Linked DNA regions of Coturnix japonica. The protein of the gene in region 1 purifies or fractionates together with the protein of each later gene. This does not show direct contact. Links are inferred from orthologs where the notes say so. Each region holds a gene or a part of one and is shown in the gene's direction. Other genes may lie near its edges.

What was found.
Region 2: the proteins of DBN1 (region 1) and TWF1 purify together in Homo sapiens (affinity purification with mass spectrometry; 3 studies listed by BioGRID and IntAct, with this or other methods). This does not show direct contact. The link is inferred for Coturnix japonica from reciprocal best matches to the Homo sapiens genes DBN1 and TWF1.
Region 3: the proteins of DBN1 (region 1) and TMOD1 purify together in Homo sapiens (co-immunoprecipitation; 3 studies listed by BioGRID and IntAct, with this or other methods). This does not show direct contact. The link is inferred for Coturnix japonica from reciprocal best matches to the Homo sapiens genes DBN1 and TMOD1.
Region 4: the proteins of DBN1 (region 1) and HOMER3 purify together in Homo sapiens (co-immunoprecipitation; 3 studies listed by BioGRID and IntAct, counting the BioPlex papers as one, with this or other methods). This does not show direct contact. The link is inferred for Coturnix japonica from reciprocal best matches to the Homo sapiens genes DBN1 and HOMER3.
Region 5: the proteins of DBN1 (region 1) and HOMER1 purify together in Homo sapiens (co-immunoprecipitation; 3 studies listed by BioGRID and IntAct, counting the BioPlex papers as one, with this or other methods). This does not show direct contact. The link is inferred for Coturnix japonica from reciprocal best matches to the Homo sapiens genes DBN1 and HOMER1.
Region 6: the proteins of DBN1 (region 1) and GSN purify together in Homo sapiens (co-immunoprecipitation; 3 studies listed by BioGRID and IntAct, counting the BioPlex papers as one, with this or other methods). This does not show direct contact. The link is inferred for Coturnix japonica from reciprocal best matches to the Homo sapiens genes DBN1 and GSN.

The regions. Positions count from the first base shown.
Region 1 is NC_029528.1:11,964,125-11,969,464, reverse strand, and holds the start of DBN1 (drebrin), read left to right. Parts: upstream 1-2,265; 5' UTR 2,266-2,375; coding exon 2,376-2,461; intron 2,462-5,340. UniProt on the Homo sapiens protein: Actin cytoskeleton-organizing protein that plays a role in the formation of cell projections. Required for actin polymerization at immunological synapses (IS) and for the recruitment of the chemokine receptor CXCR4 to IS.
Region 2 is NC_029516.1:27,267,899-27,272,454, reverse strand, and holds part of TWF1 (twinfilin-1), read left to right. Parts: intron 1-1,322; coding exon 1,323-1,400; intron 1,401-2,921; coding exon 2,922-3,100; intron 3,101-4,404; coding exon 4,405-4,500; intron 4,501-4,556. UniProt on the Homo sapiens protein: Actin-binding protein involved in motile and morphological processes. Inhibits actin polymerization, likely by sequestering G-actin. By capping the barbed ends of filaments, it also regulates motility.
Region 3 is NC_029547.1:62,602,605-62,607,851, reverse strand, and holds the start of TMOD1 (tropomodulin-1), read left to right. Parts: upstream 1-2,177; 5' UTR 2,178-2,194; intron 2,195-4,467; exon of another isoform or gene 4,468-4,580; intron 4,581-4,627; exon of another isoform or gene 4,628-4,759; 5' UTR 4,760-4,803; coding exon 4,804-4,923; intron 4,924-5,247. UniProt on the Homo sapiens protein: Blocks the elongation and depolymerization of the actin filaments at the pointed end. The Tmod/TM complex contributes to the formation of the short actin protofilament, which in turn defines the geometry of the membrane skeleton.
Region 4 is NC_029543.1:2,761,259-2,764,843, forward strand, and holds part of HOMER3 (homer protein homolog 3), read left to right. Parts: intron 1-528; coding exon 529-717; 3' UTR 718-3,585. UniProt on the Homo sapiens protein: Postsynaptic density scaffolding protein. Binds and cross-links cytoplasmic regions of GRM1, GRM5, ITPR1, DNM3, RYR1, RYR2, SHANK1 and SHANK3.
Region 5 is NC_029547.1:12,910,175-12,915,291, reverse strand, and holds the start of HOMER1 (homer protein homolog 1), read left to right. Parts: upstream 1-1,904; 5' UTR 1,905-1,963; coding exon 1,964-1,968; intron 1,969-5,117. UniProt on the Homo sapiens protein: Postsynaptic density scaffolding protein. Binds and cross-links cytoplasmic regions of GRM1, GRM5, ITPR1, DNM3, RYR1, RYR2, SHANK1 and SHANK3.
Region 6 is NC_029532.1:6,892,758-6,897,313, forward strand, and holds part of GSN (gelsolin), read left to right. Parts: intron 1-257; coding exon 258-391; intron 392-622; coding exon 623-713; intron 714-1,109; coding exon 1,110-1,280; intron 1,281-2,095; coding exon 2,096-2,270; intron 2,271-2,537; coding exon 2,538-2,662; intron 2,663-3,072; coding exon 3,073-3,150; intron 3,151-3,651; coding exon 3,652-3,712; intron 3,713-4,140; coding exon 4,141-4,310; 3' UTR 4,311-4,556. UniProt on the Homo sapiens protein: Calcium-regulated, actin-modulating protein that binds to the plus (or barbed) ends of actin monomers or filaments, preventing monomer exchange (end-blocking or capping).

The DNA.
Region 1 (5,340 bases):
GACATAGGACCCTAGGGAAGGGGATGCCACAAAGGTCTCCTGCCCCGAAGCTGCTCAGCACGATGGTTGTGGCCGTGCTGAGGCTGGAGCTGGAGGAGGGTCTGGCTGCATCAGGGCTGCTCCTTTGCTTTGATGGGGTCCGGCTGCCTTGGCACTCAGCACCAGGGCAGGGACAGTCCTTGCCCCCAGCCTCTGCCATACTCTTCCCTCACCTCCTCCACTTCATACTCAGCACACAGGGCTTGAGCACTGGCCCTTCTTCCCCCTGCCTGCACTGACCCCACAGCCAGGCAGTCTGCTACCATGGTTTCCTACCCACCCCCCCATGGCTGCATGTCACAGAGCTAGGGGGGCTGTGGGGCTGCCTATGGCAGCACCCCCGTGCCATGGAGCAGGACTGTGTGCCATGCCTGCCCCCGCTGTAGGCTGGGGGTGCACACCAGCCTCTGGCTAATGGGTTCCCATCAGGCTTGAAAACTGCTTTCTACCAAAGAGCGTGTGCCACTGCTGTCCCAGCACTGTAAATGCCTCTCCCAACCCCCCCACTTTCCAGTTGGGCTGCGTCTGATGTAGCCACGGTGCTTTTAGTGCCTTGAATAAACACTTTTTTGCGAGTGCCCGCTGTCTGGGGACTGTGGTTTTGCTGGGCACGGTTTGGTGGGGGCAGGAAGGTCACACATGGCCCTTGTCCCGCCTGGAGTCCTGCTTTGTTTCCGGGGTTTCCCCTCCTTTGCACCTTGGCAGATCCCTGGGTTGCCCTTGCCTGGTTTTAGCAAGCAGAGAGCAGCGAGGCAGCAATTAATCCAGGGGGCAGAGCAACAGCAGCGCTGAGCAGGAGATGGTGCTGAGCCGTGACCTCGCAAGGGCATCGCACTTAGCCAGCACCGTCCCTGTGTTCCTGCTGTGCCCCATTGCCCGTGCAGGGACCGAGTCACCGGCACGAGCAGCTGGAGCACAGCGGTCCTGGCCGTGCCCCGAAGGACGGACGGGAGGCACCGCCGCCCGGTACAGGCTCTGGAGCGATGGATGTGGGGCCGGCCGCTCCCAGCGCTCCGATCCGACAGCTGCAGCGGTCAGTAATAACTGCAGCCCTCAACGTGATGAGCGATGTATGGAAAATCGCCTCGCTCATCCGCTGGAGCGTTCTGCCGGGGGCAGGAACCCCCGCTCGCCCTTCTGCAGGTGGCCAAGTCCCCCCCGCACTCTGCCCTTCCGCAACCCGCAGCCTCCGCTCCCTTCTGCCGGCCTCACCGAGCGGCCCCCGCCCTCCCCGCGCACAGGAAGGAGGGTCGCGGGTGGGCTGCGGAGGTGGAGCCCGAGGAGGGGCCGCGCCGCTCCGAGAACAAAGCCCCGCGGCTCCCCGCGCCGCCCCCACCCCCAGGGGCAGCTGAGCCCATCGCGGAGCGGCCGCGGCCGGCAGCTGCTCGACAGCTGCTGCCCAAACCCCGCAGCATCGCAGGGCGGCTCCGGATCGGGAACCGCTGCGAGCAGGGCGTGGGCAGGGAGCAGCGAAACGCTGCGTCCCGCTGTACATTGCGCCCACCGGCACCGTGCCCTGACCTTCAGGGATCGGGACCCCGTGTTTAAACCCACTTTACTGCTCGGGTTGCTGCGGGCCCGGCTCCTGCCTGGGTTGGAGACGTGGGGCGGGCAGGGTGATTCCGTGTCTGTCCCTCGCAGGAGGGTGCTGACCCGTGTGGGAGCAAATGGAGACGGCTGCACCTCGGAACCACAGACGGGGGCAGCTTGGAAAGAACTTTATGGGTTCATGCAGAGGCACAACCTGGGGGAGATGATGTCCGCGTCGAGGGCTGGAAGGGCCCGGGGTGGGTTGGGAGCAGAGGGACACATCTGACAGCAGCGGGGATGGAGGGGAGCCCTTCATCCCATTGGCAACCCCAAAGGCTGGGCCTGGAGCACTGAGGGCACAACGGGGCAGAGAGGACAGTGTGGGGTCTTCGGAGAAGAAAGTTCCAGGGCCGGGGGTGCACGGGGTGGGGGAAGTTGAGATCACGGGGATCCCGGGGTAGAGCGGACCGAGGGCGCATCCGCGGGATTCGGGGTGCCCAGAGGGAGCGCAGCCGGGATTTGGAGCCGGGGGTGCAGAGCGGCTCCTCGGGTCGAGCTTCGCGCTCCGCTCCAGGAGCTCTGCCCCTCGGCGGGTGCCGGTGGGGGTGGGTGCCCCAGGGGTCGCCCCGGGGGAGCGGCGGGGGCCGGGGCGGAGGGGGGGCCCGCCGTTCGCGGCGCTAGGACCGGGCGCGGCGGCGGGCGGAGCCTCCCCGCCGCTCGCCCCTCCGCCCGGCCGCTGCGGCAGTGTCTCGGAGGCGGGCAGGCGGCCGGTCCCTCCGGTCCCCCGGCAGCATCCCGGCCCCGCCATGGCTGGCGTCGGCTTCGCGGCGCACCGCCTGGAGCTGCTCGCCTCCTACCAGGACGTGATCGGCGAGGACAGCCCCACCGACTGGTGAGCGCGCCCGTCGCCGCCGCCGCCCCTTTGTCCCCGCCGCCCGGGGCCCTTTGTGCGCGGAGCCGCCCGGTGCACCGAGCGCGACGCAGCCGCCAACACCGGGACCGCGCCCCGCGCTGCGCCCTCCGTGCCGCCCCGCCGCCCCCCGCCACCTGCACCGGGCCCGGAGCCCCGGCACACAAAGGCGGGCGGGGCCGGCGGGACGGCGGAGGAGGTGTGCCCGGCCCAACGCCCCCGGTGCCCGCACCTGCCCGCCGCACCGCACCGCACCGCACCGCATCGCACTGGGCCGGGGCGCGGCCCCGCTTTGTCTGCGCCGGGCGGCACGTGGGGGCACCGGGAGCCCCGCTCCGAGCCCCGTCTCCTTTCTGCTGGCGGCACCGCGCGTGGGGAGCGGCGGGTGGGGAGGGCCTGGGGGACCCTCGGTGCTGGGCCCGGTACTGGGATGCGGTGGAGTTTTGCCATTGTCTGGAACCGGGGGTGGGTTAGCGGGGACGGGGAGCCCTTAGCCCGGTCTCGGCGGAGCCAGGCCCGCAGCTGTGAGGGAACTGGCGTCCCCGCTGCTCCCGGTTCCCGCAGCCCCGGGGGGAGCGCTGGGTACCCGGTCCCCGGGAGGGCCGTGCGGGGTGCCCCGGGGCTGGGATGCGGTGAGCGGAGCAGGGGGTGGCGGCACTCTGGGGTGCTCCACCTGCACCCTGATCCCTCTGGCACCCTGTGCTGGGGGCCTGGTGGTTCCAGGCTACAATGCAGCTTTGATAAGGGAGCAAATCCCACCGCAGCTCCATCGCTGCCGCCCCCAGCGCCCAGCTGCCCTCTGGGACCCCCTGCCCTTGTCCCCTGGGTGGTCGCGTGGGGGTGCTGTGCGCACCCCAGAAGCCGGGACTGGTGCGTGCCATGCGTGCTGAGCTCCTGCCAGGCTGAGTGCTGCTCTCCTGCTGGGTGTCCGCTGGTTGGGCCTGAGCATGGCCCCCCCCCACCAGTCCCACTCTCTGGGTCCCTCCAGCCCTGCTGGTGGCACGGTGGGTGAGTGCGGAGCGTGTTGGTGGCCAGGAGGCAGCTGTCAGCCCCGGGTACATCTGGCTTCCCAGCATCTGCTGCAAAGGATCGTTCCCTGCCAAAGCTGCTGAGAGCAGCAGAATCAATTCCCTGGAAGGCGAGCACTGGGAGTGGGCCACCCCTCTTCCAGTATTGAACCCCGCAGCTCCTTTGTTGTGTCTGAGCCCCGTGCTCCCCATCTCCTCCAGTCCTCCATCACCCTTGGTGCCCAGCGCCAGCAGGAGCAGCATCTCCACTGCAGGGCCTGGTGCCCATCTTCGGTGCAGGATGGGGAGCGGTGCTGGGGGACCATCGTGGCTGGGGGACTGTCCCCAAATGTTGGAGCTGGGCAGGGCGAGCCGGGGCTCTGAGGACGCTGCGCTGTGCGGCTCTAAGCTGGCTCGGGGGATGCCGGGATCCCCGTGGCCACGGGATGTTTAGTCTGGGATTTCCCCCGCCCCAGCCCAGTCCTGGAGGGTCCGAGGCTCCCCTCCCCCTCCCCAGCCTCGCGGAGGCTGCTGGGGCCCATTACTCGATAGGAAAGGAATTTGGTGCTGCTTTCTGAGCACGCCGACTCCCTAGAGCTCGCAGCCACATTGGAAACACATGTGCCCGGGTTGGGGCAGGCAGAATAGGGCACCCCCCCATTCCTGACCCTGCATGGGGGGCAGACGGCTGCGGGAGAACCGCTGTGGTCTGGCACAGAGCAATGGAGGCTGCAGAAGGGCAGTGGGCTCTGCCCCCTTGTCAGTGATGGGGAGATTCAGGTCACAAGCATCCCCTGCTCCCTGCCTGTCCCTGTGTCACCCATGGGTGATGTCAAAGCTCGGGTGCTGGGGAAGCTGCATGGGGGGATGGAAGCATGGAAGGAGATGGTCCGTGGGGTCGTGGTGCTGTTGGTCCCTGCTCATGGTGATGCTCTGGGCTCTGTGTGGGGCTGGGAACACTGGAACTGTCCCTCCTGGTGCTGGAACAGGCTGTTCTGAGGGCAGAACCCGCAGTGCTGAGCTGCAGGAGCACCTCTGGGTGCCAGCAGCAGCAATGTGCTCAGGGTGCTGCCCTACACAGGGGGATGAGGGGGTGGGCAGCAGGCAGCGGGTGCTCTGGCTGCTATGCCTTGGCTGTGCCCTACTTTTGCATCCTGTTCACTCTGCCTTAAGAACCCCACGGTCCTGCCTGCAGCCCCCCACATTGCAGCCCTGTCCCTGGGGGAACAGAGCAGAGCCAGGGCTGGAAAAGCTGCCTTTTTCAGCGCTGTGAAGCCTCCCTGCTGCCTCCAGCCTGGGAGCTGCGTCGGCTCAGGCGGCCGATTAGCGGGATTTGGATGTGCGGATTAAAGTCAATCTTGTTGGTGCAATTATCTGTAGCTCACTGCGAGAGCAGGGCTGGGGGGAGACTGGGGGCTACGGGTGCTGCAGGGCGGAGGGAGCCTTGTTTCCCCCTCTTTGTTAGGCAAGGCCTTAAATTCCTGTTATTTCTCAGCTGGAAGGAGGCAGCTGAGGCCCAGGATGGAGCTGTGTGGCTCTGGTGCGGGGCTCTGCCCATGGGGGGCACCCGCTTTCCATTCCTGCTCCCATCCCTGCTTTCCTTCACCACTTCCACTTCCCATCCTCACTCCCCATCTCCCATCCTCGCTCCCTATCCCCTTCTTGGAAGCCACCAACTCGGGTGGGCTCCTCCCTCCCCAGCACCGCAGGGATTTTGGCTCTGTGTTGCTGCCGATCGGCAGAGCTGCCCGCCCACCCAGCAAAACGATAATCTGGGAGGGGGTTGGGGGGGGAGTCCGGCACGGTTGGCCCCGGCTCCCCGGGCACAGCGCGTGATGGTGGTGGGTTTGGGCG
Region 2 (4,556 bases), on another chromosome or scaffold:
AATATTGTCTTGTCTCAGAAAATGATTCCAGGAGCTGCTGTGGTTCTGGTGTCAGTGCAAAGGGCTGCTGTGTCGGTGTTGTTTTGGTGTGCAGGCTTGATATAGAAGTACAGAGAACAAGGGAATGTAGACCTGAAGAGGACAGTGGTTTCCAGGGGAATTGGGAAGTCTGGAAAGTGGTGTTTGTGTGTTGAATGGAGGTGTGAGGAAAGGCAGAGAGGGTCAGAAAAGCTGATAACTGCTGAGTGGGAAGGTGGGCTTGGACTGCAAACCCAACGCAGTTGTGTTTGTGTAAATGGCAGCACTTTGTCTCTATCCCACAGCCCATTTTGGAATTCCAGAATGGACCTGCCCTTTGCTTTTATGGACTTCAGTTTTACATGTTTTGAATATGGACAGAAGCCATCTGTTCCTTCGGCCTGGGCTATAAATAATCCCTTTTCTTTGTTTCCTGGTTTGTTGTTTGCTTTGCGGGTGCTGTCCTCAGTGCTGTGGGGATTACTTAAAGGACCAGCTTGCAACAATTGTTTGTCAGTAAATGCAGGACAGCCCCCTGTCTGGGGTATAATTAAACTGATCCGCACAAGGATTACTTTGCTAAGCAGCTGAAATTAGAGTATTGTCTGCAGGACTCGAGCGTGGTTCTTCCTTGTGCTTACAGAAGGGGTCTGTCATTCTGGTGTTGTAATGTCAATGTGAATTAGAATGATTTGAAAGTATTTTTAGCTACTTTTTCTGAATTCATTTAATCTGCCCTATTGTGATGGGTCAGGGATTGAAAAGTATCATCAGAATGCTTGCAAGGATGTAGCTTGATAGAAAAGATAAACAAAGAGCATCAGCCTTCCTTGGTACCCTCCAGAGAGGCATCCTCAGGAAAGGCAGGTGATTCTTGCAGACAGGCTGTAATGTTTTCCTGGCAGGCATCAAGTTTGTTTCCTCAGGCCCGCTGCAAACTTTCAGACTTCATGAAGCTCCTGTAATTTGAGATGCGTTGTATTTCTATTGCGTTACTGTGTGAACTGTGAAACCTGAGAGCGACAATGTGATGTCACCTTTAATTTTCACCATGTTGAAAATGATACGGTATTGCAAGTAAGCAGGGCTGTTCTGCAGTATGTTTTAATGTTGTCTGTGATCTTTCTGTGGCATGCCTGTGGCTGGAACGGCGTTTGTCAGCTCCGGTGTCCCTTCTTCAGTCCAACATCATAGCGATGGGCCAGGTGTATGCTTTTCCAGTGTTGTTTTTACCTTCGTGAGTGCTCTTTGTTGTTGGAAAGAAAAATGTGTTCATTAGCTCACTTTTATTTTCTCTTTTTCAGCTAGTGAGAATGTTAAAGACGTCTTTGTTGGAGCCAGAAATGGAAAGTACAGGATTCTGAAAATAGTCATTGACAATGGTTAGTCAAGTGTTACTATTTTTCTCTGATTCTTTTGGATATTTTCATAACTATTTGAGTGATTTTTTTGTGTACAATTTCTTTCAAAAACAAGAACACTCCCAAGCTTAATGTCACCGAGGTCTTTCATATCCTGAAGGTAGAGTTTGAGTTGTGGTGATGTTTAAGGTTTCATTGCGCTATTATTGAGTTAGAATACCTCTTCCAAATGTCATTTCATATTCTCCCCAAACCCACTGCTCCTTTCAGATAGGAGTACATGAAATGCCCACATCATTACCAAAGTTCATTCATTTATGGTACACTGAAAAACCCGTTAGCAGGAGGAAGGTTTATGCGTACATGCATACACATACATACATTTATTGTTAGGTAAGTAACCTGCTGTTATCTTCTTTGTGTTTGCTTAAGTTTTCCCTGCTTTTCTCAAGGTAGCGGCAGTAACATTAAAGCTACTGCTATTATACAGTGTGATCACTGCAGTAAAGCGTCTCAGCAGCGCAGGTTACTAAGTCTCGACATATATTCTTTTTTATTAGGAAAGTTAAAACAGTGTGCTTGTGTGTACCTGATACTTCCTAGTACAAAATGAAGGTCGTAAGTAGGGAGTGTCTTCCATTTTTATCTTAAACTTTTTTCTCTATGTGCTTGTGTGTGTATATATGTATACACAATTTGTCTGTATGTGTCAAAAGATACTATATGTACCAACTGCTATGGGCCCTTGAACTGCTGTTGGAACCATATAAACAAGGTGTTTCTCCTTTGGCTGTGAATTATTGAAAATTGGTAAATGTTTGGAAGATACTGAATAGTATTTTCCTTTGGAAGCTGAGATGTGATTTATATGTAAGAGAGAAATCTTGTTGCTACAGTTGTTCACATAATTAAATCTCATCTGAAGTATTCTTTATGGACTTAAGCCAATTATACACAATAAACAACTTCAGTAATTTAAAGAGACTGAAGTTATGAAGCTGTATTAGAAAGGGGTTTATCTACTTACACAGTCAAATTAAAGTGATTACTGCAAGTATGTTCATTCCAAATTCTTTTAACTATGCAACTGAGTAACTGTCTCCTTTCAGTGAGTACAAACATTGGAGTGTGTTAAAGCATCAGTAACTCTGATTTTAATGTTTAAAAACCTACCCTCATCTTATTTTTGCTTAAGTATTTCATGTTAAAAATAAATGAACTAGCAAAGGGCAGCTTTTGTTTCTTCTCTGTACACATTACGCTAAACACTGATATCAGTCACACCTCTTCAGATCAAAGAACTTGATGACAGCCAGTGTACTGCTCCTCAACTAATTGCATTTTGGTTAAAGTAAGTTAGGGTTTATGCGTACACAGCTTATCAGGAACTCACCTGCTATTGCACTGAGTGCTCCTGACTCTCATTCTTGTGGGCATGGTTACAGAATATGAAGCGTTTGATTAATTACAATTAATAACTGATTTTGAGAAGCATTATCAGCTATATAATTGCTAACTTGTAGTTTTGGTTATTGGTTTTAGAGCAACTTGTTCTGGGATCCTCTAGACGGCCACTTGGATCATGGGAAAAGGATTATGATGCTTTTGTTCTTCCTCTTCTTGAAGACAAGCAACCGTGTTACATATTATACAGATTAGATTCTCAGAATGCTCAAGGATATGAATGGATCTTTCTTGCATGGTCGCCTGATCACTCTCCTGTATGTAATAATCATGGAATCATAGAATGACTTGGGTTGGGAGGGACCTCAAGGATCATGAAGCTCCAACTCCCCTGCCACAGGCAGGGCCACCAACCTTCACATTTAATACTAGACCAGGCTGATCACTGTTTGATCCAAATCCTAAATGAGAAGCATTTGGGGAATGAAGCATTCCCCAACCTTCACCACACTTTCTGCCAAAGAAAATATGGAAACATCTTCCTTGAAGCTGTTTGTGAGTCTGGATGGAGCGCAGGTTGTCCAGCTTATTTCTAGCTCAGTCAAAGGAAAAGCTCACATTTTTGTGCTTTTTATTTGCCTGACTTTCTGTCAGTCTTCATGGAAATAATAGAACAACATAGGACAGAAATCCCTGTTGGTGTCATCATAGAGAGAAAGATGACAATTTGAGCTCCAGCTGCTTATTCGTTTTTGTTTGCTGGCAGACCAGTTGGCGTTTGTGGATCTGTGACCCACCTGAGAATGACTTCGTTCTTAGTGAGAATGGGAGGAAAGGGAAGTCAGCCTTAACAGATTCTAGGAGAAACTGGGGGAGGACAAACTCAGTCTAGTCCCAGATTCCTGCACTACTTTGAATAGCACTTAGGAAACAGTAGGAGGCCAAGAAATTGAGTGCATAGAAGAAATTGAGTGGAAAAGATGAGGGTATTGTGATGAGGATGGCATGGTGGTGAAATAAGCTGGGGAAAATGGGACTGCAGGGAGAGGAATATATATGTTGGACGCAAATTGATAGGAAGCAAGCATCATTAAGTCTTCTGCTCTAGAAAATCTCCTTTTTCCATCCTGTAGTTGTACTTGAACTACTAAATAGAAAATAATAATAGGTTATTTGCAGTCTGCTCTTTCTGTAATGTATCTGTTAGTAGACAGACTGGTGACAAATGAACTAAGCTGTTGTGTTTGTTTTTGAAATAGAAGTAGTAAGGATTGTGTTCTGTTTTTTTAAATATCATTATATTTTTAAAGCACATACTCTAAATAAAGCTGCACTTTGGCTTTGGAATTAGTTTAATAATAATGCATAGTAAAATCCCTTACTGTGCACTTGAGAATTTAATGGCGTATATTAGTATCATGCTCCAGAGCTCATTCTGTGATTTCATTTGTCATTAAGAAATGCTGTTTCAAACCTCACTTTCAAGTCTTCAAATACTTGTTCAAGAAGGCGGTTTGTTTGTGGATTTGGTACCCTAAAATGCTGCTGTACACCTGAGCTGTGTATGCTAAAGAGAAGAAAGAAATAGACAAGAAACCAATGCTCTTTTATGATATACCAGGTTCGTCAGAAGATGTTGTACGCTGCAACCCGAGCAACACTTAAGAAAGAATTTGGGGGTGGTCATATTAAGGATGAAGTATTTGGAACAGTAGAGGTATGTTATAAGGAATATTGATTATAACAGATGATTTTACTGGTATTAATTTGTGG
Region 3 (5,247 bases), on another chromosome or scaffold:
AAGTCTCTCTGCAATTTTATATAACAAACTACTACAATTTGAGAGACTACAAACAGTTCCCATTTGACACCCAGTCATACTTAAGGAATTCAGAGCATTCGTGAGCCAGTTCAAGCACGGTGCCTGTGATGTTCGTTAGTCTGGAAGGGAGCCAGGCAGATATCTCTATCCCTGCCAGCCATCGGCTTAATAAATCTACCCCTACCCCCAACATCAGGAAGTCCTTAAGCCAGGACCACAGGAACCTAGGGACTATCAGTCCTACATACAGGGCTGCTGAAAAAAACCACCTAATTAGCCCAAAACATTGCCCCGAGCTCTGCCGCATTCTCCACAAAAATGTCACGGAGTTCTCTCTAGAGCTCACTCCGGGACAGTGGGCACAAACCCGGCAGCAGGAACAAAAGCCCCCCCCCTCTTTCTCTTAGCGGCAATCGCGGCGGCCCGGCCACGTGTGTTTAGGAAGACGGGGAAGGAAGGGAGATTGCGATTAGTCTAACAAAAAGTAAGGAGAGAAAAAAAGGTGATCTGAGAACGAATGGCAGTTTAATAACCTAATAACACTAAACAACAACAAGAGAGTTTCAAAGAGAATACCAAGTCCCCAATCTCACCGATGGAGCTGTGGAAGGCAGGAAGCTCTGAACACGTTGTCTCCTCGCAGGGAGCCGGGCCAGCAACCCCGTCCCCTTCCTCACTTCCCTTCTGGTGCCACCCCCCACATGCCCATTTAAGGCAGTTCACAGAAAAAAAACTTGTCCCCTTTACTCCCATTATTAGCATGGTGTTCTGATGTGGAATACCAACACCAACCAAATTGCAAAACCATAACAGTTTACTACTGTAATACCAGAATGTTTGGGTGGAAATACTAAATAAATAAAAAGTTATTTATCAGTAGAACAGCGCTGAACTGTTCTGGAGGCTTTTTTTTTTTCCCCCTTAATTTTGGTGGGCTTCTCATCTCGTGGCTATTAAAGCATGATTATTGCCATTGCTGGGTTCTCCCTGATTTATTGTTTTGAGTAGAATTTTTGTCACTTGGAAAGAGCCTGGCAGATCTTCAGGAGAATGAAGATGCTTTTTGAGGTTCTTTTCTTATCCCCCCCCACTCCCAGTTGTAGCTGGTGGCTGCTCTGGAATCTGAACAGCCTTAAGAAGCAAGGACTGTACTTGTTTAGCATGATTGCTTTTGCATGGGTGAAGTCTGAAGTCTTCACTCCTAGCTGCTTTGTATAAGCAAACTCAACAGAATTACTTTGTGCATGCAGGAGCATCCTGATTTGGTCTGGAATAGAGCTGATTTTTTTCATAACAGCTGCTGCGTGTTGGGTTTGGGATGAAAAGAGTGTGATAACACAATGCTGTTTCGCTGTTGCTGAGCAGCGCTGCACAGAGACAAGGGCATTTCAGCTCCTGGTGCTGCCCAGCAGTGAGGGGGCACAGGGAGCTGGAGGGGCACAGAGCCCAACACTGGCCAGAGGGATGCCCTGTACTATGTGCTGCCATGTGAAAGCTATAAAACAGGGGCAGCCAGTTGGGGGGCTGCTGCTGCTGCTTGTTCTGATTACAATAGGTCTGACCAGAGTGTGACAGGGAGAACAGAATACCTTAATGTGTTGTATTTGTTCAACAGTCGGCTGTTTGCAACGTTGATCTCCTTGCTCTCAAAGTTATTCTTGCTTTTTGCTCCCTGTTGTGCTGCCTCTTACCTCTGGATGCTGCTCCTTCTCTTGGTACACCATACCACCTAGCACTTTGAGCAGGCTTGGGGTGCTCAAACCAGCACATTCCTATTGCTTTCTCCAAAATATTGGGCTGGGGGTTGTTGTTGTTTCCCCTAAGGGTAAGAATATTCTAAGGCATCACCCAGAGATGTGCCCTGAGGCACAATGGTGTCTGTGGGCAGCCAGGTGTGTGTTTCATCGCAGGCTCTAAGACTGTGTGGGATGTGTAGGAAGCGGGGGCTGTGCTCCTCTCCTCCGGGCTGGAGGCGGGTGTGAAAGATCCTCCTCCCCGCCGTACCGCGCTGATCGCTGCGCTGCTGCCCTCATGGACCGTCCGCTGTGCGCCAAGCAGAGCCCGGCGGGGCAGGAGAAGCGCCCGGCACCGCATCTGGGTGCCGGCCGGGCTGCGGGGTGAGCGGAGCGAGGCGGGGCGACAAGCGAAGGCGGCTCCGCGTGCGGTGCCTGCGGTACGTGCGCTCCGGGTGCGCCGCGCCGTGCTGGCTCGGAGGGCGCCGCTCCTTTCGCAGCCCGACCCGCGTGTTCTGCTGCTCCTGAGGGGTCGGGAACGGGTAAATCTGGAGCCCCCGGGGACGGACACGCTGCGGAGACCGGCGCTGCTCCCTGGGGCAGCGGCGATGGATGTGCGGGATGAGCCCGCAGTGCGGTGATGCTCTGCCCGTCCGAGATGCTGCCGTCGGGGTTAATGGCAGCGCGGGTCGGAGGATGCTGCGATTCCCGAAGCACGTTTGCAGTTGCAGAGTTGGAGCTGAGCGGATGGCGCTGATTGTGACTCAGGTGTGAGCCGGGGCTTGTCGTGGGTATTCTTAAATGCTCGAGCATTTAAGAAACAGCGGGTGAGCCTGGCGCTAAGGAGGAGGACACGGAGCCGTGTTGAGGTGTACGCAGAGGCAGCGGTGGCGCTGAGATGGATGGCGATGGGACTTGGGTAGAGTTTGACCCCACCACGTGTTGCCTGTTCGGTTGTGTTGCATTAACAGCGTGCTGATAATGAAGGCTGCTTAATGAGAGCCAGTGCTGAGCTGCATGGCTTGCAGGCAGTGAGCGGGCTGGGAAGAACAGGTGTGCTTTGACAGGTCCAAAATGATGCCTTCCAGATGCTGCTTTTCAAATATCTTGAAGTCTTCACATTGTGCCTTACGTTAACAGCTGCTGGCCATAAAGGTTTTGTCAGTCCAGAGGAAATGCAGATCTTGGGCTGAGTTTATGCCATCACCAGGATGCAGATGTGCCTGATGGACGCTGCTCACTGAGCAGGGGTGTCCTTGACACTGTGTGCTCTGCTCTGTTGAGAACTGGGATGATTGAACTTGATGATCTTGAAGTTTTTATCCAGACCTACATAATTCTGTGGTGCTTGGCTACTCTGCAGGCTGCACACGTGCTTCTTGACATAAGAAAGCTGCAAAGCAAGATAGGATAACAGCCTCCTGGAGGCTGGGTTACACGCTGCTGCAGGAGCAAGTGGCTTAGCCAAGGTGACCTTCAACCATGGCTGAGCTCGTGGTGCCTTAACAGCGTGTTGCTGGGGAAGGCAGCTAAACCAGCATGTGAGTTCAGATGTGAATCACAGCCGCAAGAACATTGCTTCAGTGGGGTAAATGAAGTGGATGTAGAAGGTAGTTGTTTTATTCTTGTCAGAAGTGGGGATCAGTTTGCAGCCCAGTTCCCATCCTGGCTTTGGGAGGAGGCATCTGGGCAGCTGTACAGTCCTGTGAATTCTTCTAAGGCCAAACTGTGGAAATGTTAGATGGGAAGGCAACTCTGGAACCTGTTTGTCTGTCATCCTCCTGAGCTTTGGGCCCAGTCCCAAAGCTCAGCCAAGCTGCTCAGGTCCTTCTCCAGGTGAGTTTTGCAAACCCAAGTGCTGCTCCCACCAGCTATCTGGTCCCTGTCCAAGATCTGCATCACTTTGTGGCAAGGATTTTTTCACAGATCCCCACTTAGAATTCCTCGTAGCGCCCTGCTCTGTACCCCTTCAGCTCCCCCAGACCCCTGTTGTGCTGCAGGCATCACACTGGATGCAGAATACAGATGCAGCTCCACTGGTGCTCACTGGAGGGGAATAACCTCTGTGGGCAGTACAGACCTACAGTGTGGGCATGGTCCCCTGCAGGACCAGCAGACACCCTGCTCAGGTCTGCCCAAGAGGGGATGCTGGCTCCAGGTGTGATGCTATTACACTGCATTTCATCCCCATGACAGCACACCTGCATTCGTATCCCTTGTGAGCAGCAGTCAGCAGTTGTCCACGTGTTGCAGAACCAGGGAAGACCTGCTTTGTGGGTGGCTGCAGTCCCTCCCAATAGTAGTGGCAGAGGTGCTGGTTGACGCCGTGTTTCTTGTGCTGTAATGATAACTCCCTGGTGAGGGCCAGGGAGAGCTGCCCCAGGTGGGTGCTTAATATGTGCTGGGAGATGAGCTGCCTGCTGGCGCGGCCACGAGTGAGGCATCATTCCCCAGCCCCAGGTGCTGAGTGTCAGGAATGCGGGGACTGCAGCCCTGCCAGGAGAGGCCGAGCATCCAAGCAGATGTCGGCTCTAAATTTAAGGGCTTGCCATCGAGCTGTGTACGTGTTAATGTGCCCTTTTGTGGCCAAGCTAAAGATAATTCTCCTATCTGGAACAGCAGCTGCCCTGCAAGTTGTGTAGAGAAACCGCCCTGCTGAGGAAAACTTGCTTTAAATAAGTTTGGTATCCTCTGCAGGTCTGAGCCAGAAAATGGCCATGGGGCTCCAGGGGGCTCCTTGAGCACTGCCCAAAGGGTGGGCTTTGGGGTGCAGCAGTGCAGCGATCCCACCCAGAGGTGTCTCACACTGCAAGACCACAGGGCGAGGTGCGTCCAGCACCATGGAAATGGGCAGGGGGCCCTGAGCAATCTGACCCAGCTCTGGAGATAGCCACGCTTAGAGCATAAATCTTGTGCAACTCTGTGATAGCCAGCACTCCCCCGCCAGCAGGGCTGCCGGGTCATGTTTCATGCAGGCAGTGCTATGCTCTGTGTTTGCATTTCAGGTCCTGCTTCGGCACAGGAGTGAGATTCAACAGACTGCTTTAAGATGTCTTACAGAAAGGAGCTAGAGAAATACCGGGACCTGGATGAAGACAAGATCCTAGGAGCCCTGACAGAGGAGGAGCTCAGGAAGTTGGAGAATGAACTGGAAGAGCTGGACCCTGATGTAAGTTGCTTTTAAATGAGACCTGCTTGGTGGTAAATCCCATGTAGCTGTGGGCAGACGAGCTGTGCTAGTGCCCTGTTCCGTGACCGAATCCTCTGCAGAGCCTGCACTTGGTGCAAGGATGGAGGAGGCCCCAGAGAAGCAGAAGCAGTTGTGCCACCGCCAGCACTGTCTGTGTATGGGGCTTTGTTTTATGCTGTTCCCCGGCCCATTCCCAGTGCGCACACTGCAGTGTGACAGCGCTGTACCAATTTCTGGCTCAGCAATTAATGGCCAGACTGTTGGAAAACTTGCTTGTTGTTGCACAGTTGTTGCTCTGCACCG
Region 4 (3,585 bases), on another chromosome or scaffold:
GGCCAGCAATGGCTGAGGGAAAATTGTTATGGCTCAATCTGGCTGGCAGGAGGGATGCAAGCTGCTCTGCACCTCGGGGCAGGAACACAGATGGAAGCACGATCTGTGCAGTCTCTGGGGGCACTGCCTGCGTTTGCTTATCTGAGCTAGTGAAGAAGGAGGGGATCTGTCACAGGGCTCAGCCCTGTACCCAGGCGCTGCTTTTTATGCCAGGATAGTATTTCTAACCATCAGATGCCATCACTCTTGAAGATCAGTTTGTGAGGAAATCCACACTTATAACACCAGTTCAAACTGCATGCAGATGACTGGGTTTGGGGACACATGTTCATATGTGTTTGCATGCTGTGGCTGAATGTAGGGAGGGCCCCCATTGAGAGAGCTGATGCAGACCTGCGATGTCTGGGTGTGGGCAACCTTGTGCTGGGATGCTGATGGAACTGTTTGGTGGAGATAAGTGTGGTGATCTGTGGGTAGCACGTATCAGTGCCGGGGCAGCCACCTCACTGCAATTGTGTCCTTTGGCAGGAGCTGGAGGCACGCAATGCAGAGCTGGAGCGCCGCCTTCACCTGGCCGAGCAGACGCTGGCAGAGACCCTGTCTGAGAGGGAGAAGATCCAGAATGAGGTCACCAAGGTGGCAGAGATAATGGACGTGAAGATTTTTGAGCTCAGTGAGATCCGGCAAGGACTAGCCAAGCTGGTGGAGAGCAACTGAGCAGCAGCATGCTCAGAGGAGACACCTCCGGAGGAGGGGAGCCTGACCTGGGACTGGTCACTGACAGCAATTTTGATCACAGAACAGCCTTGAGGTCTGTTTGGGCAGGATATGCCAACGTACCAGCAGCTGCCTGGACAGTGTGGTGACCAGCCGCAGCCACTTACTGCCCACTGAACAACGAGCTGGAGAGCAGAGAGGGCCTGAGCTCCTGTATCCTCCACAGGAAGCATCTACAAGTCACAGTCAGGCTTCTCTGGACCTTGTCATGGCTGTGGCACGGTCCAGAGACAGCAGCTGTCCCTCTGCTGCCTTCCCAGCCTCCCTGCTGCCACACTGTGTCTCACTGTGTCTCCAACATTTTTACAGTTTTCTAGGGGAAGGGGCTGAGCAGCCTTTGCATTTATTTTTTTTTTTTCAGTAGTTTTTTTAGGGAACCACTTGCCTTTTGCAAAATAAGCTGCTTGTTTCCCGACTTAGGGAGGGAAAAGAGGTATCAGCACTTTGAGGAGTTCACTAGCTCCTTTTCCAGCCCTAACTACATCATGTCTTTCTAACAGGATGCAACAACACTGGTTGCTGTCAGGAGCTTACAGAGGTAGCGGAGTCACCACTGCAGAGCAGGGTGCTTGCCTGCCCAAGTGCTGTTCAGTTCCAGCCTCCAGAGGAAAAAGAACTGCAGGTTTTAAAGCTCTTATTAGCTTAACACAGTGGGATTTAATGAATTCTTAAAACTTCTTTAAGCTGAGAGCAAAGGCCTGGTTGGGAAAGGGGCATTTGAGAAATGGGACATGCCCAAGGGGATGGCCAACCAACTGCTAGATTGGCATCTCTCCTGGCCTCTAAGGGCTGTAGTTAATTGAAATTAAATGGAGCAAATCACAGTTGCTCTTGTTTGGGTTCTTTTTTTCCCCCTCTCTTTTATAGGGAAACAGTCCACAGAGATGTCCTGCTCTGTGTCAGATGAGCAGTGTTCCTTTTGAAGGGTACAGGTCCCAGCTTGCCACGCTTAGCCAGATTAAATGAGAACAGGAGGCATTTGGAGCATGCTGGGACCAGTGCCCTGTGGGGCCTGTGGGAAGTCTGTGGGTTACCGTAGATGTTGTCTAGTTGTAGGAATCAAGCAAGGCCTGAGGGAGACACTGCAGAAACCTGAAAAATCATGTCTCTCTCATAGTGTCCTTTGAGCCCCCGTAGTTAGTTAGGAGCATGCATAGCCCTGTGCTGAATGACAAAGCAGTGTCTGTGTAGAAGTAGATAGTAACCTTACAGGAGTGCTGATATGGATTTTGTGGTTGTTTTTTTGCCCTCTTTGCTTCCATAGGTTAAGCAAAGACAGCAGTAACCCTGGGAATGTTTCCCAGGTCTGCAGAAACTGTAATTACTTAGCAAGCACTGGCTGCCATGTAATGCCTTCTCTGCATCCAGATGGTCCTGGGCAGACCAGCATCAAGGCAGGGCCTCCCCGTCCTTTCACTCACGGGGTGACCAAGAGAGGAACCCACATCTTCTGCACACTGCCTGCAAGTTGGGACAGGACTGGGTCTGGCACCTTGGGAATCTGCTGGAGTGGAGAATTGCTGGTGACTCTGTGCTGGATTGTGTCTAGGCAAAGCCCATCCCTTGCACAGGGATGATGAGGAAACACTGAAAGTTCCAGACCTGTGTAGCCAGGGAGGGGTGTTTCTGTTTGGAGGATAATTTTCTTGTTTTTGTTTTTTTCTTTCTTTTCTTTTTTTCTTTTTAATATTCTGTTGTTTTTGTTGGTATTGGTTTCTGTTTTATTTTGTTTTGCATGAAGTTTTCTCACAGCTGTGTAGGGGTGGAGCTGTTGTAGTCATATTTGTTTCAGGGTATTTAAGAAGGGAAAGAAGCTGGCAAAGTTTTCTGGGGTCTTGTACCCATAGCAGTGTTCACATTTTATTCCAACAGGAGGAGCCTTTGAAATAGAGATCAGCTCCAAGAAATGCCTGTTTTGTCTGCATCTGTTACTGTAATATGTGGTGATGGAGGTGGGGTTTGGAGTATGAAAGAAAAACTAAGCCAAAGTTGACATTCTGATTGTCCCTGCTCTCTCACACTTCTTTTCCATGGCTGTGCCCCACAAGGTGGAGCTGGATACAGATTCTGCCCGTGCTCTGCATCTGAGCCCATGCCTGTGTTGTACTGCTCATTGATCAGGGCTGACCTGGCCATTGTGCCACACCTGGGTGAGTCAGCTCTGCTGAGGGAGGCTGCTCTTAAGAGACAAGGGAGAGGACCAGAGTCAAGCTGCTGCATGACTGTGTGGGAGAGAGGCAGATGCAAGCTGCAGCACGGTGCTTCAGAGAGTACCTGCTGGCTGCTGCTTCCCCCCATGACCTGCCCTGACCAGGGTCAGGCAGCAGTGCAGGGTGAGACCTGGCTCTTATGCTATTAAGCCTCTTCTATTCCTATATGTATTTCATGCCCTCGAGCTGAAGCCTGCCATACTCAGTGCTGTCTGCCTCTGGAAACTTGGAGCTGCCAAGCTGCCAGCTCCCTGACAGGATGCACAACATGGTTTCCCTGCACACAGCGTACCTTGAGGCCAGCAGTACTTCGTATGCATTTGCTGTGCCCTGCTTTTTGTTGTAGTCACAGACCTCACTGTGCATCTCCATTGTCAAGAACCAGGAACAGAGGTCACTTTACTTTAGACACTTCCCCACGGGTACTAGATGCAATTCTCTTCCTTGCCAGAATAATCTGAACAGTGGCTTTTTTTATGAGATCTGTCCTGTGCTCAGCATTTGTTAAAAGTCTTTTACTGAGGCATTGCAGGGCAGCGTGATGGATGGTTCTGGGAGGCACTTTCCTTTGCAGTCTTCCCTCTTCTAAACTAATGAA
Region 5 (5,117 bases), on another chromosome or scaffold:
TTGTGTAGGTGCCTGCATTCACCCATGGAGGTACGGTGGTAGGGTAGGTCCTCTTCTCCATTCCAATCTGGGAGAGCTCAGCCTCTGTGGTAGAGACAACCCCTCTGTTGGGGAGCAGGTGCAAACACACCGTGCTTTTGCTGCATTTCACAGCGCCATGCCCAATCCACGGGTAAAACCTGGATCTTCTTTGATTTCTGCAAAGGGGCTGATGTCTGTACCTCACTGCTATCGTCCTGCACACTCAAGGTAGTTTAAAAGGCTTGGGGTAGCTACAACTTTTCTCGGACAGGGAAACACCTGAAAAACTGCAACCTGTCTGTGGAGGAGCAAGGACTTATTCCGTCCCCGTTCGGCCGGCACGCAGTGCCAGCAGCCGTCCTTGGGTGATCCCGGCATGGCCGTGCGCTTCCCCCGCGGGTCAGGCTCGGGCTCGGTCCGCCCGCAGGCAGTGGGAGCGGGGTGCCGTACCCCCGCCCCGCTCCCGGTCCGCCTCCGCCACACCGTGGGCGGGCGCGGCGTTGCCCCGGAGACGGCGCCGCGGGGGCGGCCGAGTGCCGGCGGCGGCCCGGAGAGGAGCAGGGAGAGGAGCCCGTGGAGGAGCCCGGAGGCGGCCGCACGGCGCCGACCCGCACACACGGCCCGCCGCCCCCCCGCGCCGCCATTGCCTATTATAGAAGCGCTTCCGGCGGCGCGGGCCGCTCTGACATCATCCCCCGCACCCGGTGACGTCAGCGCCGGGAGCAGAGCGTGACGTCGGTGCGTAGGGAGCGCGGTGACGTGCGGTACTTAAAGCTCCGCGGGCGGAGGATGGAGGCAGAGCGAGCGGCTGCTGCCACCGGCGTTGGCTGCCGGGCGCTGTGGGGCCGCGGCCGGTTCCGTTCCCGCTCCTGCCCAGGTTCCCGGTCTCAGCCCCGGGGCGGTGGGTCGGCTGCCGGCCGGGCCTGCCCACCGCCACAGCGGGCGGAGGCAGAGGTGTGAGGCGGAGGCGGGGATGCGGGCGGCCGCAGGCAGCGGCTCGCAGCAGCCGGGCACCGCCTGACGCGCTGCTCGCTCCCCCCGCGTCCCCCGCCCGCTCCCTCCGTCCCTCCTTTCCTCCACCCGGTCCCACCCCGCTGCCGGCTCTGAGCCCGCGGCCCCGCCGCAGCGCACCCTCGGCCGGGCGGCGGCCGCCCGTCCCGCCCCCCGCCCGCTGGCAGCGCCCGTCCCGCCGCGCCCCGGCGCGATGCCCGCCCGCTGTCCGCAGCAGAAGGCGTGACGGCCAGGCGCGGACCCGCCGCGGGAAGGAGGAGCGGCGCCCCGCGTCTCCGCAGCCGGGGGCGGGCGGGCGGATCGCGGCGACCCGGTGCCCGCCGCCTGCAGCCCGATGCCCGATGCCGGTGCCGCGGCTCGCTCTGCCGCCTCGGGGAGATGCACGGCTGCCCGCCGCGCTGCTAGGGGGAGCGGCGGCGCGGAGCCCTGAGCGCACCGCCCGCCCCGTCCCGCTCCGCCTCTGAGGCGCCGCGCCGAGCGCTCGGTGGCCGCGCACCGCCCGGCGACAAGCGCCGCAGCCGCCGCCAGCCCCGCGCGGAGAAAGGGGAGCGCCTCCCTCTCTCGGGCCCTCCTTCTCTCCCTGCCTCCTCCCACCCGCGGTTGGGGATCCGTCCGCACGCCGAGCCGCCGCCACACGCCCGCTCGGGGGCCGGAGCCGCTGCCTGCGGACGCCCGGCGGGGCCGGCGGCCATGCGAGCCCGGCCCGCGGGGGGCGCTCCGTAGGGTGCGGGCGGCTCGGCTCGGCTCGGCCGCTGCCAGCCGGCGGCGCGACCCGCGGGCCTGCGCGGAGTGGCGCGGGAAGCCCGGCGGAGCTTCCCCACCGCCGCCACGGGGCTGCGGAGCTGCCGGCGCGGCGAGGCGCGGCGCGGCGAGGAGCGCCCCGGGGACGCGGCCCGCGCGGTACCGCCGGTGCCCGGCGCCGCCGGCCGCCATGGGGTAAGCACCTCTAAGCACCTCGCGGGGCCGCCGGGCTGCGGCGGGGCGGGGTGGGGTGGGGTGGGGGCGGGAGCAGCGGGGAGCAGCGGGGAGCGGGTGCCGCTGCCATCGGCGCTGAGCACGGATGCGGGGCTCTGCCCGCCGTAGCGCCGAGTGTCGGATCCGTGTCGACTGCCCGCCGGGTCCCTGCCCTGCCCGGTCGGGCCCGAGAGCGGTCGGCTCGGGCTCGGTGTGGGGAGAGAGCTGCAGCGCGGCCGGGGCTGGTTGTCCTGGAGCCTTCGGGGGATATCGGGCGTGTAAGGTGCCCACATGTGAAGGAGGCTTTAAAGAGATCCGCTTCACAGCGCGTCCCCCGAACGCGTGGGGACATACGCCCGAAATTTTAAGGAGATGGGAAGGAATTAAATCTTCAAAATGAAGCTAGCTGCATCAGGTCTAGGAGACATAAAAGTGGCATAGATACCTGTGGAAACTTTCCACGTTTGCAATCTCGCCTTTGTACGGAGAGATGATGAAATAACGCTTACTGCTGTGCTTGCCTGGTAACCTCCGGATGGAGTGGAAACTCGTCCATGTTCCAAAGCAGCAGAAGCACAACGTGATTTGGATAACCGCAATGTAGAGGCAGGCTTTTAATGCATCAACAAGACTCTGGTTTTCTGAGACCGCTGTATGTAGCTCAGTGTGTAAGAGTTGCAACTCGAGTCGTTTGGTTTTGGGTCATTCAGGAATTTGGGTGTAAATTAGCATAGTGCAGTAACGTGGAGCTGCAGGTGCATCGCTCCTCCAGCTGTCAAAGGCACATGGAACTCTCCAATGTACGAACCTGCCTGTGGTGGCGGTGGCAGCTGTTCCCCAGCACTCCGAGTCAGCGGGGCACGCTCACTGTGCAAGGTGTAGAAAGGAACGTCTTGCTAGTCTTCAGCTTTTATTTTCCATTAAATATATATACATGTATATATGTACAGAATAATCCCAAGCTTGCAGTTGTCTGCATCTTCAGGGAAGTGGTCATATCTTCTGGCTAAAGGCTGAATGGTAGTACAACATTTGGGGGCTTTATCCTTAAAGCTGCTGGACAGGCACAGAATTTTTCACCTTTTAAAATTCGAATGATGGGAAAAGATAACATTTATTTAAAATCAATGTTATTTGCAGGCATGCTGTTTAGGTGTAGCTTGCTGCAAATGCTGAAAAACATTGAGTAATAAGCATTGTTGCATTGTTTTTTCTCTAACAGAGCTTTCTGAAGACAAATGTCTGATTTGGAAAAAAAAATATATATATATATATAAAAAGATTGAGAGCCCCCTCCATTTAATAAACTTAGTGCTGCTGGTGCATGAGTGCTGCAGTTTCTCAATGAACAAACTGGTATCTGTAGAGAGTGGTGAAAAGGCTGAATACTGAAGAACTATGCAAAAAAAAATATTTGGAGAAATAATGCAGGGATGTTTTTGTGATGACTTCAGGGTGATATCCTGGCACACTGAGGTCAAGATGGCAAAAGTTGTTGGCTTGTGTTTTGAAGAGCCTTCAGACGATGCACGTTGAGGTATGGCAACTGAGTTCCTTTGCAGACAGTCTCTTAGCAAGATGGAGATAACCAGAAATCTGAGCGTGTGTTATTGGTGGCCCCCCCTGCCATGCAAGTCTGGGGGAGCACATCTAAGCCTGTGCCAACCCTCTAGACCTGCAGTTATGTACTGGGCATTTGCTGATGTTCAGAGTCTTCTTTCAAAAGCTGTTTTGAATTAGCATCTAAATGCAGTTCCCTATGGATTTTGGGCTATTTTGAGACCAACGTGTACTAGAATCTTAACACTGCAGTTATAAAAATAGTCTTCTGATACTCTGTTAAGGTCTTAAAATCAAGCCCGTTAGAAGCAGGTTGGAAAATGACTGATAATCATGCGTTCATCCATGTGAGGACTGCTTCAAAAGTAATGCCTTCAATTTTATTCTGCTGGATCACGGCATCAAGGGCACGTGTCAGTGGTATGGCAGGAAAGCTTGAACTGTCCCCCTAATAATCCATTCCATGTTGTTGCTGTGCCAGATGGCAGTAGAGGGGCGGTCTGACAAAATGGCGTCTGACATGGAAGTGTGAATGAAGTGAAGGTGTGGCATTAAATTCCCCCATGTGGAAAAGGTAGCACCCACTGACATTCACAGACACTTGCTGGAAGTTTGTGAAGAGCAACCTGTGGATGTGAGCAGAGTGAGGCAGTGGGAGGTGTGTTTCAGCAGTGGCAGTAGTGGTGTGAAAGACAAATCGTGCTGGGGACAGCTCTGCACAGCTGTCAGACCACGAAATGAAGAGCATCTTGATCTGCTGCTCCGTGCAGGTTGGCTAATGGTAGCGACTGTGCTGAAAAAGTGCATTTTATAGAGAAAATGTTCTCTATCAAATGGAGTTCTTGTGCTCTTTCTATCTGTTGAGGTCCCCATGGAAATAAATAGAATGCATTACTTTCGGAACAATCTTTGTATATTCGGTTGCTATCATGCATGAGTTCATATGGTGGATCTGTAGTATCTGGATGGTGGAGAGTTTGCTTTTATCCATGGTCTGGGCAAAGAAAAAAATGGAACTGGGTAGAAATAATAGCTTAGCTAATCAGCAATGGCTGTCTTACTTTATGGGTTATTATAAAGAATTCCCTGTTCTGCCAGTATAACTGACCCTGCTTGGCTGGTTGAGTACCATCTGACAAATGAAGCAGCTGAGTGGTGCATACCTAGCTGTACATTGCTGGTCTCTGAAGTTGTACTGCAGTGAAATACTTGAAGCTGCAGTGAGAAACTTGAAGCTTGAGAACAGCTTATCGGGTTCCTTGTACTTCATCCCTGATGTATGTGTGTGTATCCCTCTTGACTAACAGGAGAAGGTAAATGAAGCTCCAGGGGCAGTACACGTCTGCTCTGGTTCCTCTACCTGCCACTCTCATTCCCTCTTCTATTTTGTCCTTCCTGTTGCATAAGAAGTTCTGAGCAGTAGTCACTGTCAGTGCAGGCCATTTGTCAGTGCGAGCCTTTCTCTTGGATTGCAACCACTGGATGACTGTTCTTCAGTAAAAAAGCCTTGACTTTTATATAAATCAGAACTCAGTATGTTCTGTGCTGGTTCATAATGTGTTGCTTTTGTA
Region 6 (4,556 bases), on another chromosome or scaffold:
GAAAGGCCTGATCAAGATTTGGGAGTTCATAGTAGGATGAATGAAATGTTCCTTGCTTCCAGGCCTGGCTGCAGGCTGTGGAATCTGCTGCGGGTGGGAATGACGGAGTTTTAGTAGCTTTCCCCAGCAGGTGGGGCTGCAGGACTGCGAGTTTCGGGAGGCTGGAGGAAGCAAATAGAACAGAGGCTCTGCTGAGGAACATCTGCTTATTTTTATTTCACTATATTCTGCTCTTCTCCCTCTGTGCTCTTTTCTAGATTTGGAGAATAGAAGGCTCAGAGAAAGTGCCAGTGAATCCTGCAACATATGGCCAGTTCTACGGTGGGGATAGCTACATTATCTTGTATGACTACCGGCATGCTGGAAAGCAGGGGCAGATCATTTACACTTGGTAAGAAAGGTTGCACCTTTGTGGAGCTGTGAAGTCTGCTTCTTTGAGGGTGGGTCATCCATATTTCCCTCTTGTAATCAATCAGTCTGACTGTCTAAGACAGTGAACTTTGTTTTCATGCTGAATGAAGTGCTGCTGAGGTTTGATAGCCCAGAAGTGTTTCTTACATCTTGATCTCTGTAAGGTGCATGTGCTGGGGAAAAGAACCTCACGTTTTTCCTTGTCTTTCAGGCAGGGTGCTCATTCCACTCAAGATGAAATTGCGACTTCAGCATTCCTCACAGTGCAACTGGATGAGGAGCTGGGAGGCACCCCTGTGCAGGTGAAAAACAACAACAAACAAAAGCAAATGTTAAAAAAAACATGAAAACAGACAGAGAAAAAATAGGATAAAATCAGTTTTCACAAGCCTTGCAGGTGGCAGCGAGCTGTCTGCTTTCTAGTGTTAAGAACTCTCAGAAATTAACAGTCTGCATTTCACATGAATTAATGCAACATGTTGGCAGCCAACAGGACTTGCTAGGAGAAGCAGAAAACACGCTGGGTAGATTTAATTACAATTTTTGCAAAGGCAGCTGGATTGGTGAAGACTATAAACTCCATAAGTTCTGTAAGGAGAGTCCAGCCAGAAATATGGCAGCCAAATCTATTTCCAGCATATGTTCTGCTTCTCTTCATCAGTGCCTTAAAGCTGACAGCAGGTTATCTTTTTCTTTAGAAACGAGTAGTGCAAGGAAAAGAGCCACCTCATCTGATGAGCATGTTTGGTGGAAAGCCCTTGATTGTTTATAAGGGTGGAACCTCTCGGGAAGGAGGCCAGACCACACCGGCACAAACACGGCTGTTCCAGGTCCGGTCCAGCACCTCGGGAGCTACCAGAGCTGTAGAGGTATGTGAAAAGAGAGCCAGCTTCTGTGTTGTATACATAAACTGCAGTGGGGACACAATCTCTCTGCGAATGAAGGCCAGACTGAGCTTTCTGATGTAAACTGTAACAAATGTTTAAACCTTTAGAAACTGTTAAAAGATGTCTCTTTTCTGGTGTATAAGTGCTGACAGTCATTATGATCTTTTCAGTTTATAAATATCACCTCAAACACACTGACATGGTTCTCTCTTAAATCCACGGTAGATGTTACACCTGGCATAAAACAATGATTTTCAAATACTGTTTGGTGCTGGATATTGTGACTTGTTCTAAGCTTGTGTGACCACACTGTTACCAGTGGGAGACTGCAAGTGCTAAAGACTCTAAACAAAAAATAGAGCCTGTGCCAGGGTACAGGGTGAGAGCCCTACTGATTTGAAAGAAAATGCACAAATAGCGACAAACATTATGCTAATGATTCGTCAGCCTGAGCAGCAGGGATGGAGCTCTAGGATAGTCTCCCCAGCAAGTTCTTCTGTATCCTGACAGAACCATAAAGACTGGCAAAATGAGAGCCCCCAGCATCTGAGCAGGAAGTCATATGTATCTGTAGACTGTATAAAGAAGCACAGGTTCATTTACTCTTCTCATATGACTAAGCCTGACTCATTACCAGATACAGGCAAATATACAACATATATTGTAAGCCTACACGCTTGCATGGAAAATCTTGTTTGAAATTTGTTTAAGGATAGATACTAACTTTTATTTTGAAATTACGGGCTCCACACAGCGAATGATAACATCTCACACGTGCAACTTTCTTTTTTTTCCAGCTGGATCCTGCTGCCAGTCAGCTGAACTCCAATGATGCTTTTGTCCTGAAAACTCCCTCTGCTGCTTACCTCTGGGTCGGCCGAGGCTCCAACAGTGCAGAGCTGTCAGGAGCACAAGAGCTGCTGAAGGTTCTGGGAGCTCGCCCAGTACAGGTTTCTGAGGGTAGAGAGCCAGGTGAGGGACACACATGAAGTCTGAGGTCATTTCTGTGTAGCTGCACTTTCTCAATAGTTATTTCCTGGATGTTTTCTTTTTGTCTCAGAAAATAGAAATGTGAACGTGATGCAGGGTGGCTTCTCCATTCATAACGTTTAACAGCAAAGCCATGTTTGTAGTCCTCTAGGACTTTCTGGGAAGAATGCTTCAAGTCCAACCCAAGCCATACTGCTACTGTGTTTTCCAGCTATAGTTGAGGCAACAGTGTATCTTTTTCTTTTCCAGATAACTTCTGGGCGGCTTTGGGTGGAAAAGCTCCCTACCGAACCTCTCCTCGGCTGAAGGACAAGAAGATGGATGCTCACCCCCCTCGTCTTTTTGCCTGCTCCAACAAGAGTGGACGCTTCACTGTGAGTATCTGGGAAGACAGTCAATTAATTCAACATTCATCTGACAAAGCTGAGAGAAACTTAGTCTGAGTGTGCCCTGAGTCAACTAATGAGCTGCTACACCCAATTTTCCTTCGTAGTGTTGCCTCCAGAAGGGAAAGTATTAGCACCATTTATTTTTTTGTGCAGAGTTGGCAGCTACCTCTATAGCAACTTGCTGAACCATTAGACTGGTCCTCCCCTGGTTAAACACCAGCATTCCAATTCCTAAGATTTTAGCTCATGAATCTTTCAAGAAGCAAGAGGCAGCATTAGAAGTTTTAAGCGTGAATGAAAGGCTGACAAGAGGTGAAACTGGAGCCCTGCTTCTTCTTGCAAAGGTAAAGTGACACTTGCAGAATGTCCTCATCTTTTGATCCTATGTTTTTCAGATTGAGGAAGTCCCTGGAGATCTGACTCAGGATGACCTTGCTACCGATGACGTTATGATCCTTGACACATGGGATCAGGTGTGTCATGTTTACCTGTCAAGCAGAGAAGCAAAGAATACACACAATGTAGCTCTAGATTTAGAGATGCAAATTAAAATCACAACAGAATTATGAAGTTGTAGAGTCCTTTTGCCTTGGAGCCTGAGAACAAATCACCTCACCCATGCCACTAAAGAGAACTTACACCCAGAACCTCTGTTAGTTGCTGTGCATGACTCAGCCAAAAGTGAAATTAGAGATGAATTCTGTTTTATGTAAAGATGTTTAAACATCAGTTGTTTTTTCTGATGTTAAGCTTGTGTGCAACTTGTTCATGTGATTAGAATTTACAGCAGATAAACTGCCGTCAAAAAGCTTCCTGTCATCTACCAGTAACTTTATTTGGGTGGGTCCTGGCACACCAGGAGGAATACGGTGCTGTTCAGTGTTGTACTCAGTTCACTGAGCCCTTCTTCTCTTTCATGGGCACATTGGCTGTTGCTGAAACAATTAATGTGGTTTATTTTTTTTAATCTATAGGTGTTTGTATGGATTGGAAAAGATGCCCAGGAGGAAGAAAAGACTGAGGCTTTGAAATCTGGTAATGCCATGACGTTTTTCCTTCTGAAATAAATGTGTTTTTTTTATTTTCCCACTATCTGATTTTTAAGTCAGACAATTAAATATACTGAGGAATGGATCTTAATTGTAACATTCAGTGTTGAGATCAAAGTGATCACATAGACTGAGAAAAGAGGATCCCAAAGATCAGCAGAAGAAGGTATGGTATTTAGACACTGTGCTCAGACCCTAACAGCATCCCTGTGTGGGTGGTACAGACTGCAGTTATATTGGAGCATTTTATGGCCCTAACGTGTTTTCTCCCCAAGAATGCCTTATTTGTCAATTAATAATTAATTAAAACCTTATTTGTTTTAATGAAAAATCTGAAATTGTATTTCTAACATCCATCTGCTGCTCCATAAGATTTGTGCTTGATGAGATTTTCTTCTCCTTGTGCCTTTACAGCTAAACGATACATTGAAACCGATCCTTCCAGCCGCGACAAGAGAACTCCAGTCACGCTGGTTAAGCAAGGGCTTGAGCCTCCAACCTTCTCTGGCTGGTTTCTGGGCTGGGATGATGACTACTGGTCTGTTGATCCTCTGCAGAGAGCAATGGCAGATGTGGATGTCTAAGTAACAGGTTTTTTCTCTTTTTAATAAAGCAAGTTTAGTTCCTTCAGTGCCTTCAAGAGCTGCTTCCTCCTGCTGGGTGGATGCTAGCATGGCAATGATGTCAATAGCCAATTAGCTGTGCAATAAGTACCAAAACCAATCATGACCAGTCTTATTGCTCTACTCCTTGCTTTGATTATATTTAATATGATAAAGCTTGTTTGGAATAAGAGAAGAATGGGTGAGCTTTGTTACTAAGCTGAAAAC